2 linked regions of the Arabidopsis thaliana genome follow. The protein of the gene in region 1 interacts with the protein of each later gene in a biochemical or structural test. Each region holds a gene or a part of one and is shown in the gene's direction. Other genes may lie near its edges.

Region 1 (4,359 bases):
GTTCCTTCAACCATAAGTAATAATCCAGCTTACAATATTCTTTCTATCGATAGCTCTAGTATCGATAGCTCTAGCTATACTGGTTTAGTTTCAACTGGCTTAAGTAGTGAAAATTCTCCTATCCTTTATGGTTTACCATCGAATGATGGTGCATCTAACACATGCACATCTCAGATGGAATCCGAAAGGATTTCTATTCCGCAGTATGATCCTAATCAATGTCACCCACATAGATCCATCCTTGAAACTGATGTAAACCAAATAGATTTAGATTTTACTTCTATACTAGATTCTTTCGATCCTCTAGTAGATGAGTGCCTTATGAAGGAAAACAATAGATTTCTTCCAAACCCTACCATGAACCTTTTGGATACCGATATAGACAAGATGGATTGGGTTTCATTTATAGAAAACCTTAGTCACCATGATATCAATATGAACCATATGGATTGGGATCCTTCAACAGCAAATTACGTTCTTCCTGAAACCAACATGAACATAAATTTTCCTGAAAAACATACAAACGAGATAGGTTGGGTTTCTTCACAAGTAGGTTATGTTCCTTTTGAAAATATGATTCCCTCTGAAGTAGATATAAACCATATGGGCATGGGTTATTCTGGAGGAAGTATTCCCCCTCAAGAAGAAACTAATACAAATAATGTGGGCTTTGTTTCTTGTGAAATACATAGTGAAATCCCTCCCAAAACTAATATGGCCATTCTAGAAACCAATTATTCAAATCCGTTAGATTGGGTTTTCCCTGAAGATATAACTTCACTCGAAACCAATACCATCCAAAAGAGTTTGGTTTCTTGTGAAACAAGTTACGATGCTTTGGATAATATGGTTCCTTTGGAAACCAATATGGAAGAGATGAACGATGCTCTTTACGATATTTCGATTGAAGATCTGATTTCTTTTGACATTGATGCCAATGAGAAGGATATATTCTCTTGGTTAGAAGACAATGGTTTTTCTGAGGAAAATAATATGATGGAGTCATGCGAATATCATAATATAGAATCTGTGAATCAAAGTGATGATATGAAGATAGACGATAACTTTGATGATTATCGTGAATGCATGGATTGGATTAACGAAGAGATGAATAAAGATGTATGAATAATGGTGAAAAAGGAGAACAACAAGATTAAAAGTAGTTTATAAATTTAATATGTTTTTGTATAATGCATATTCATATCATAAATATAGATGTATGTTAATCATAAACAATATGTATGAGATTCTAAAAGTTTTTCAGGTTCTTAATCGTACCATAAGTTTTCTTTTTTTGTTAATTTGTTTCTCAGTCTTTAATTAAAATGTAGTCAAACACTTTTAATTTGACCAAAGTTAGTATTTCTATTAAAATCAGTTCTAATAAAACTTATGACCAAGTAGTAGATGCTCTAGTATTGATCCTAAATCTAATTTTTTATTTTTTTTAAATAATAGTTTACTACTTTACTTCCAAAATTATAGTCAATTGTCATTATAACTATTATCATTGAAATATATTTTTGTCAACAAATATTATTTACTATAGATAACCACGAACAAGGCATCATATCTGTCAAAGAAGCATTGGCATGACTTCATGTGCTCTCTAAAATTAAAAGATATGTTTTGTCTCAATTGACATCATATTATTTTTTGTTACGTCGTAGTAATTTAATGACAAATTACTGAGTCTTTGATTTTTAGCAAGGTCGTCTTCCAACTATGTTTCTAAATCTAATCATGATTTCGGGGTTTGAAGGCAAAGGATGGAGCGTGCAAAGTCGATTTCTTGTTGTTCTGATGCTTGAGCTGGTGGTTGTGCTACCACTTAAAGCTACAATATGTATAAATATACCCATTTAATTACTTACTCTTAATCAAATATCTCTCAAAATTTCTCCACTAAACATTTGTAAACCACATCCAAAAAATAAAAAAAGAGTAACCAGATATAATGATTAGATGGAGACACTTTGACAATTAAGTCATAAATATTAGTGTTCAAAATTCTAAAAAAAGAGAAAAAGAGAAAACAAATATCAGTGTTATAAGGACACTTTAACGTTTCTTCACTTGCCCAAAGCTCTCTGAAGATAAAAGACAAAAGAGTAAAGAGAGAAAGAAGCACGAAAACCAAATCAATGGCGGTTTCAGTTTCAATCCTCACCGTCGTCACTGCTCTTCACCTCCTTGCTTTCGTCTTCGCCTTCGGTGCCGAGCGTCGCCGTAGCACCGTACCCAATTTATCTCTCTCTTACTAAAATTTGTCATTTTTCCGATTTGTGTTGTGAATTCGTGTTTTCTTGTTTATTCAGGCTGTGCCGGTTCCGGATCAGTACGATGAGAAGACTATTTGTAAGTACGGAACTGAGGCGTCGACAGTGTACGGTATGTCGGCGTTTGGGTTGCTTCTTGTTAGCCAAGCGGTGGTTAACGGTGTTACTAAGTGTCTCTGTTTTGGAAAGGGTCTTGTTACTGGTACTTCTTACACTGTCTGGGCTATTGTCTTCTTCGTTGTTTCTTGGTAAAGTTTATTCCTTTACTCTCTAATTGAATCTTTTGTACATCAAGATTTGAAATTGAGTTGATTTAAGTGGTATTTGGTAACCAAAATTTGAAATTTCTGATTAGGGGCTTTTAAGTTAGATTTGGAATGAACTAATTTGTGATTTGATTGTGTATATTTATGGGTTTTAACTTTGAAGTGAAAAGGAAAGTTTTTTCCAACTCTTTTCAGTATTGTGAACATGAAAAGTAAACACTTTTAGATTAGTGGGTATTGAAATTTGGTTATGTGATTTATGATTAATAAGTCACTTTGTTGCAAACTTGACTTCTTATTTACGTCCTTAACTCTTACTTGTGAGTTGTGGATGTCTCTATCTAAAGACAATGATAGTGGTAGGCTTCGTCATGGTCACAATTGAATATTCTATATGTTTGGTTTTACAGTTTGTTATCTTACCAAACTATGTGGATTCTATAAGAAAAGAAACGACCTTACAAGAATAAGAACTAGTTAGTTCATCTCTATGTTTGAGTACGTTTGTCTTAGTCATTGGTTTTGTGTATCTTTAGGGTAAGCTTTTTAGGAGCTGAGGCGTGCTTGTTGGGTGGATCAGCGAGGAACGCGTACCACACTAAAAGTGAAGGCATTTACAAAGGGAAAGAGCTTTCGTGTGCCGTCTTACCCGTTGGAGTCTTTGCTGCTGGAGCTGCTTTCACTCTCATGTCTTTGATTGCAACCATTCTTTACTACTTGGCTCATTCTAAGGCTGATACTGGCGGATGGGAGAAGCATCAGAACGATGGCATTAACATTGGTATGACCACTCCTTCAGATGCTCCAAAGCAACAAAACACCGAGTTTAACAAGGTCTAAACCAGTTTCTGTTTGGTCTTATGTTGGCTATGCTTTTAAAAACAGGGTAAAACTATAAAAAAAATAGTTGTTTGTTAATTGTCAATATAAACTTGTGTCGTCAGATATAATGTTGGCTTATGTATGTCTATGAGAAATTTGGTTTGGCTCAGTCATCATCTTAGCTTCCCACTTGACCTCATCTAGATTGTTATCATCTGCTAAAAGTTTAGACATGAAAACAATATGGGCACATAATGGACTGGGCCTACGAAGAGGCCCAATGATTGCATTCCTAACATATCTAGCCTCAACTTGGAATATACTTGCATGGGAAAGGGTTTAGCTATGATCAAAATGTTGATAACTTTTTGGAATACATTTTTGATCATTAACTCAAGTTAAGAAAGATTCTCTACAAGATATAAAACTAATTTATTCATGTAGCAATAAAATGATGAGTTTTTGCAATATGCTAAAGCCATACCTTTCCTGTTTTTTCTCAAATCGCTTTCTTCTTTATGAATCCAAGAACAAAACCGTTCTTATCCTAAAAGTTCGGAACTATATAATAAACCATGAATCTTAGACCTTAGCTCACAAAAAAGGCCACAGTTGTTTCAAAACCTGAAACCAAAACAAAATGGCGGTTTTTGGATATGAAATGGATGAACATAGAGCTTCTTCATCGAGACGACGAAGATCTTTGTACCACAATCTAGGAGGAGGACGATGTAACATATATTTTTCTTTCCGTTTTCACATTAATTTTGGTTCTTTTTCTAAAGGATTTTTCTCTTGAAATGCTTGTAGTTGCTGATATAATGTTCTGGAAGAACAAGAAAGAATCAGGAACAATCTTGGGGGTATTCACATTGATATGGTTCTTGTTCGAAGTGGTTGAATATCCTTTCATCACTTTCCTCTGCCAGATCCTCTTACTATTCATTTTCATATTCCTCATTTGGTCTTACATTGGCTCCTCACAACTAATC
Region 2 (6,132 bases), on another chromosome or scaffold:
AGCGGTCAAATAACTTGACGTTCAAGAGAATACAGAACAAAATTCATACAAAACAGATATAAGGATTAGTGGTAGTGAAAAGAAGAATTTACATAAAGAATTATTTAAAAATATTGGGGCCAAAGGAATCATAACCTCTCATGCCACTAAACCACGAGCTAATTGATGTTGTTTCTTTTGTGGGGCTTTTTCTCTATTACTCTCCACTATTCGGTCCTTTATTTATTAAACAGAATCAATAAAATATACTCTATAGTCTTCAACAGTATGATATATTACAAATTTATAACACACAAAATCACACTATAGGTGATAAGATTTGCACTATTAATTGCAATGGAAAAATGTTCTAAGAATAATTATTTCTTACTAGAAACTATTGATCTTAAAGAAATAGTCTCTTGTGCAATTGAATGGTAGCTAGGGTATAACCAATTGAAACATTTTAAAATATGACTTGTGTATATTTTTTTCTTTAATATGTGTATATGATTATTTATCAATGAACATTTCAAAATAGCATTTTCTCGTTGGCTGAAATAATCAAGCTAATATTTTGCTTAAGTCATACAAATCTACTCATAAACTTGGTGGAAGAAGGCAGTGTAATGATGAAAAGGATGGAGTGTGTGACATGGAACATGATATAAAGGCTCATCTATGGCATATTATATGAAACTAAACTAATTAAAATCACATAAAAATGGAAAAAGAAGTGAGCAACATTATGGTTACACCTTAAAGTTTGTTATTGTAATTTGTAAAGTCACTTCTCTGTTCATTCCCCCACGCCTCTGCCTCGACAGTGAACATTGGATCAACCAAATTTTACAAAAGACCATTTCATATGCGATGCATATTATGACTAAATTGGGTCCCAATTATTTTGACCACACACCCCACCATATGAAATATTTGTATATCGGTTTGGAATAATTTCTCCCAAAATTCCTTTCAATATAATTGCCATTCTTTTGTAAAAGGTTTTGTTTTTTTTTTAAATAAAGTATTAATACAATACACAACAAAAACAAAACAAATTATCCCAAAATTCCAAACTTGATGTGATTATAGACTAGAATTTCTATTATGTTCGTTTTTATTAGTGTTGTCACTATATCACTAACTATATTCATATTCAGTTGCTTGTCAATTATTTTTTTTTGCCAGTCTTAGATTTATTATTTATTGCACTGTTACATAGACGATTCTACAACGGACAATTCCTTCCGACTCTTATTAGATCTAGTTGCTTGTCATCTAATATTTAAATTATTTTAAGAAATGTTATACAACTAATATTTAAATCATTTTAAGAAATGTTATACAACAATAGTATATAGCTAAATTTTTAAATGGAAGTTTATATAATACTACACTTTTTCTTCATTGAAATTTGTGAAACATCTCATAGATACAATTCCCATTTAGAAAATTAGCAGTGATCATAATTCTTTCTAAGGTTCAAAATCCCCACATGGAGCTTTAATGAATTAAAATTATGAAACCATTAGAAACAAATAGATATAGGACTAAATGAAACTGAAAACATATTTTTCTAAATATTAGAGTTTTATTCTATAAACTGAACTTAATTTTTTTGATTATCAAACAACATGTATTCTATTAGATTAATAATGTCACTTACACAAATCACTACAAGTCATGATCACAATTCCACAAAATCATAAGATTGATCATAACCATTTAATAAATCAATCATCTATTAGAAAAACATCATATGTAAAAAAAAACGATTCGACAAAGATGTTTTAAAAATAATAAGCATCAACAATTAATAAAACTTAATAAATTACCTAAAAGCAGCTTTTTCTTTTCTTCAAAAAAAGCCCTTTTTCTTCCTCTGCTTTAGCATCGTCTCTTTATCATCTAAATGTTTCAACTTACTTACTTCTCCTTCTCCATTCAAACTCAAAAAACCTCCCTCCAATGACTACTTCACCAATCCGGGTTCGGATCCGGACTCGGATCCAAATCTCCTTCATCTTCCTCCTTACCCATCTCTCACAATCTTCCTCCTCCGACCAATCTTCACTCAAAACCGACTCATTATCACTCCTCTCTTTCAAAACAATGATCCAAGATGATCCAAACAACATTCTCTCAAACTGGTCACCTCGTAAATCCCCTTGTCAATTCTCCGGCGTCACTTGTCTCGGAGGAAGAGTCACCGAGATTAATCTCTCCGGTAGTGGCCTCTCCGGAATCGTCTCCTTCAATGCTTTCACCTCTCTTGATTCTCTCTCTGTTCTCAAACTCTCAGAGAACTTCTTCGTCTTAAACTCAACCTCTCTTCTTCTTCTTCCTTTAACCCTAACTCATCTCGAACTCTCTTCCTCCGGTTTAATCGGAACCCTCCCTGAAAATTTCTTCTCCAAATACTCAAATCTTATTTCCATCACCCTCTCTTACAATAACTTCACCGGAAAGTTACCTAATGATCTTTTCTTAAGCAGCAAGAAACTCCAAACCCTTGATCTTTCTTACAACAACATTACCGGTCCAATCTCCGGTTTAACCATTCCTCTTTCTTCTTGCGTCTCCATGACCTATCTCGATTTCTCCGGTAACAGTATCTCCGGCTATATCTCTGACTCACTCATCAACTGCACCAACCTCAAAAGCTTGAATCTTTCTTACAACAACTTCGATGGGCAGATTCCAAAATCTTTCGGTGAGCTTAAACTCTTACAAAGTTTGGATCTTTCTCATAACCGACTCACCGGTTGGATCCCGCCGGAGATCGGAGATACTTGCCGGTCATTACAAAACCTCCGGCTTTCTTACAACAACTTCACTGGTGTGATCCCTGAGTCGTTGTCCTCATGTTCTTGGCTACAAAGTCTTGACCTTTCAAACAACAACATCTCCGGTCCGTTTCCGAACACTATCCTCCGGAGTTTTGGATCTCTTCAAATCTTACTTCTCAGCAACAACTTAATCTCCGGTGACTTTCCGACTTCAATCTCTGCTTGTAAGAGCTTGAGAATCGCTGACTTCAGCTCGAATCGATTCTCCGGTGTGATTCCACCGGATTTATGTCCCGGAGCAGCTTCATTAGAAGAGCTAAGACTCCCGGATAATCTCGTCACCGGAGAGATTCCACCGGCGATATCTCAATGCTCTGAGCTACGAACGATTGATCTCAGTCTCAATTATCTCAACGGTACAATCCCACCGGAGATCGGAAACCTCCAGAAACTCGAGCAATTCATAGCTTGGTACAACAACATCGCCGGAGAAATCCCACCGGAGATCGGAAAACTACAAAACCTAAAAGATTTGATCCTCAACAACAATCAACTCACCGGAGAAATCCCACCGGAATTTTTCAATTGCAGTAACATCGAATGGGTCTCATTCACAAGCAACAGATTAACCGGAGAAGTGCCTAAAGATTTCGGAATCCTTTCCCGGTTAGCCGTTCTTCAGCTCGGTAACAACAATTTCACCGGAGAAATCCCACCGGAGCTAGGAAAATGCACAACTCTGGTTTGGCTTGATCTTAACACAAACCACTTAACCGGTGAAATCCCTCCCCGGTTAGGTCGTCAACCCGGTTCAAAAGCACTTTCCGGTTTACTCTCAGGAAACACAATGGCTTTTGTTAGAAACGTTGGAAACTCATGTAAAGGTGTTGGAGGTTTGGTTGAGTTCTCAGGGATCAGACCAGAGAGGCTTCTTCAGATTCCATCTCTTAAAAGCTGTGACTTCACAAGAATGTATTCAGGTCCAATTTTGAGTCTATTCACAAGATATCAAACCATTGAGTATCTTGATCTTTCTTATAATCAGCTTAGAGGTAAAATCCCTGATGAGATTGGAGAAATGATTGCTCTTCAAGTTCTTGAGCTTTCTCATAATCAACTCTCCGGCGAGATTCCGTTTACGATTGGTCAGCTCAAGAATCTCGGTGTTTTCGATGCTTCGGATAATCGGTTGCAGGGTCAAATCCCTGAATCTTTCTCGAATTTGTCTTTCTTGGTGCAGATTGATTTGTCGAATAACGAGTTAACTGGTCCGATTCCTCAGAGAGGTCAGTTAAGCACGCTTCCGGCGACTCAGTACGCGAATAATCCGGGGCTTTGCGGTGTTCCTTTACCGGAATGTAAGAATGGAAACAATCAGCTTCCTGCTGGAACAGAGGAAGGGAAACGTGCTAAGCACGGAACTAGGGCAGCTTCTTGGGCGAATAGCATTGTTTTGGGAGTGTTGATTTCCGCTGCTTCGGTTTGTATTTTAATCGTTTGGGCGATTGCGGTTCGTGCGAGGAGGAGAGATGCGGATGATGCGAAGATGCTTCACAGTTTGCAGGCGGTTAATTCCGCCACTACATGGAAGATAGAGAAGGAGAAAGAGCCGTTGAGTATTAATGTAGCGACGTTTCAGCGACAGTTGAGAAAGCTTAAGTTTTCGCAGCTTATCGAGGCGACAAACGGATTCTCAGCCGCGAGTATGATCGGACACGGCGGATTCGGTGAGGTTTTTAAGGCGACGCTTAAAGACGGGTCTTCCGTGGCGATCAAGAAGCTCATTAGACTTAGTTGTCAAGGAGATCGAGAGTTCATGGCAGAAATGGAAACCTTAGGGAAGATCAAACACCGAAACCTCGTACCGCTCTTGGGATACTGTAAAATCGGGGAAGAGAGATTGCTTGTTTACGAGTTTATGCAATACGGAAGCCTCGAGGAGGTGCTTCACGGACCAAGAACAGGCGAAAAACGGAGGATTTTAGGTTGGGAAGAGAGGAAAAAGATTGCAAAAGGAGCAGCAAAAGGACTTTGTTTCTTGCATCACAATTGTATCCCTCACATAATCCACCGCGACATGAAATCGAGCAACGTGCTTCTCGATCAAGACATGGAAGCAAGAGTTTCAGATTTCGGAATGGCGAGACTGATCAGCGCATTAGACACACATTTGAGTGTAAGTACCTTGGCAGGCACGCCAGGTTACGTACCACCAGAGTATTACCAAAGTTTCAGATGTACCGCAAAAGGCGACGTGTACTCAATCGGAGTAGTGATGCTCGAGATCTTAAGCGGGAAAAGACCAACGGATAAAGAAGAGTTTGGTGATACGAATTTAGTAGGTTGGTCGAAGATGAAGGCAAGAGAAGGGAAACACATGGAAGTGATTGATGAAGACCTTCTAAAAGAAGGTTCTTCGGAGTCTCTGAATGAGAAAGAAGGTTTTGAAGGAGGAGTGATTGTGAAAGAAATGTTGAGGTATTTGGAGATAGCGTTACGGTGCGTTGACGATTTCCCATCAAAGAGACCTAATATGTTACAAGTTGTTGCTTCGTTGAGAGAACTTCGTGGAAGTGAAAATAATAGTCACAGTCACAGTAACAGCTTGTAACAACATGAAGATCTCTGTTTTTTTTTGTTTTTCTGGCTTTTTCAATGCATTTTTTTTTCCTGTGAGAATGTGTATGTGTGGTTGATCAATGATTAAAATTTCATGATGTATCAAGACTTAATTAATGTAATTTAAATTCTGATTCCTTTAATAAATAACTATGCAGATTATAACAAATCAGAGTCTTAGTTGGTGAATTGTTCTTTATTACCGAGTGTCGTTAGCTCAATTGGTAAAGACCGTAAACGAAGCTTAGAGAACGCCGATTTGAGTAACGCTTGAAACGAAACTAATATTACACGATGTGGTTTCGTGCATGAAAGGATTACCGACATTGGCCCAGAACTTCCTGGTATTAGAAAAAAAAAAAAAAAAAAATTGTTCTTTATTAAACGCTCGAATACACACGATTAGGCTTTGGATAGAGAACATACAAATGGGCTCAACAACTGAAGTTTCAAAATTATATTTGGGCCATAAAGAACTATTTAGAATATAGAAACATTAGGCCCATAATGACTCTTTCTCCTTCAGGCCTATGAACATCTAACACTATAAGACTATACATTCGTGAGTAGAATATTTTTTTTTGTGAGAATAGTATTTCAAACCACAAAAGAGAATATATTTCAATGTGTTACTTCATTAGTATGTGTGAATTTATACTTGTTGATGTGAATCAAGTAGGTGGTTGTCTAGTAATTTAGAGTTTTCAAATTTCAATAGTTCCATTCTAATTGAAAGAAATGA

Evidence for each region.
Region 2: the proteins of AT1G68220 (region 1) and BRL2 form a complex in vitro, tested with the Arabidopsis thaliana proteins (one study listed by BioGRID).

What each region holds. Positions count from the first base shown.
Region 1 is NC_003070.9:25,568,178-25,572,536, forward strand, and holds AT1G68220 (aerobic coproporphyrinogen-III oxidase (DUF1218)), read left to right. Parts: upstream 1-1,914; 5' UTR 1,915-2,144; coding exon 2,145-2,237; intron 2,238-2,318; coding exon 2,319-2,527; intron 2,528-3,081; coding exon 3,082-3,385; 3' UTR 3,386-3,556; downstream 3,557-4,359. Other genes in the region: APRR6 (pseudo-response regulator 6), read left to right, coding at 1-1,125; AT1G68230 (Reticulon family protein), read left to right, coding at 4,008-4,098, 4,178-4,359.
Region 2 is NC_003071.7:440,055-446,186, reverse strand, and holds BRL2 (BRI1-like 2), read left to right. Parts: upstream 1-1,862; 5' UTR 1,863-1,950; coding exon 1,951-5,382; 3' UTR 5,383-5,563; downstream 5,564-6,132. UniProt on the Arabidopsis thaliana protein: Receptor with a serine/threonine-protein kinase activity, which may transduce extracellular spatial and temporal signals into downstream cell differentiation responses in provascular and procambial cells.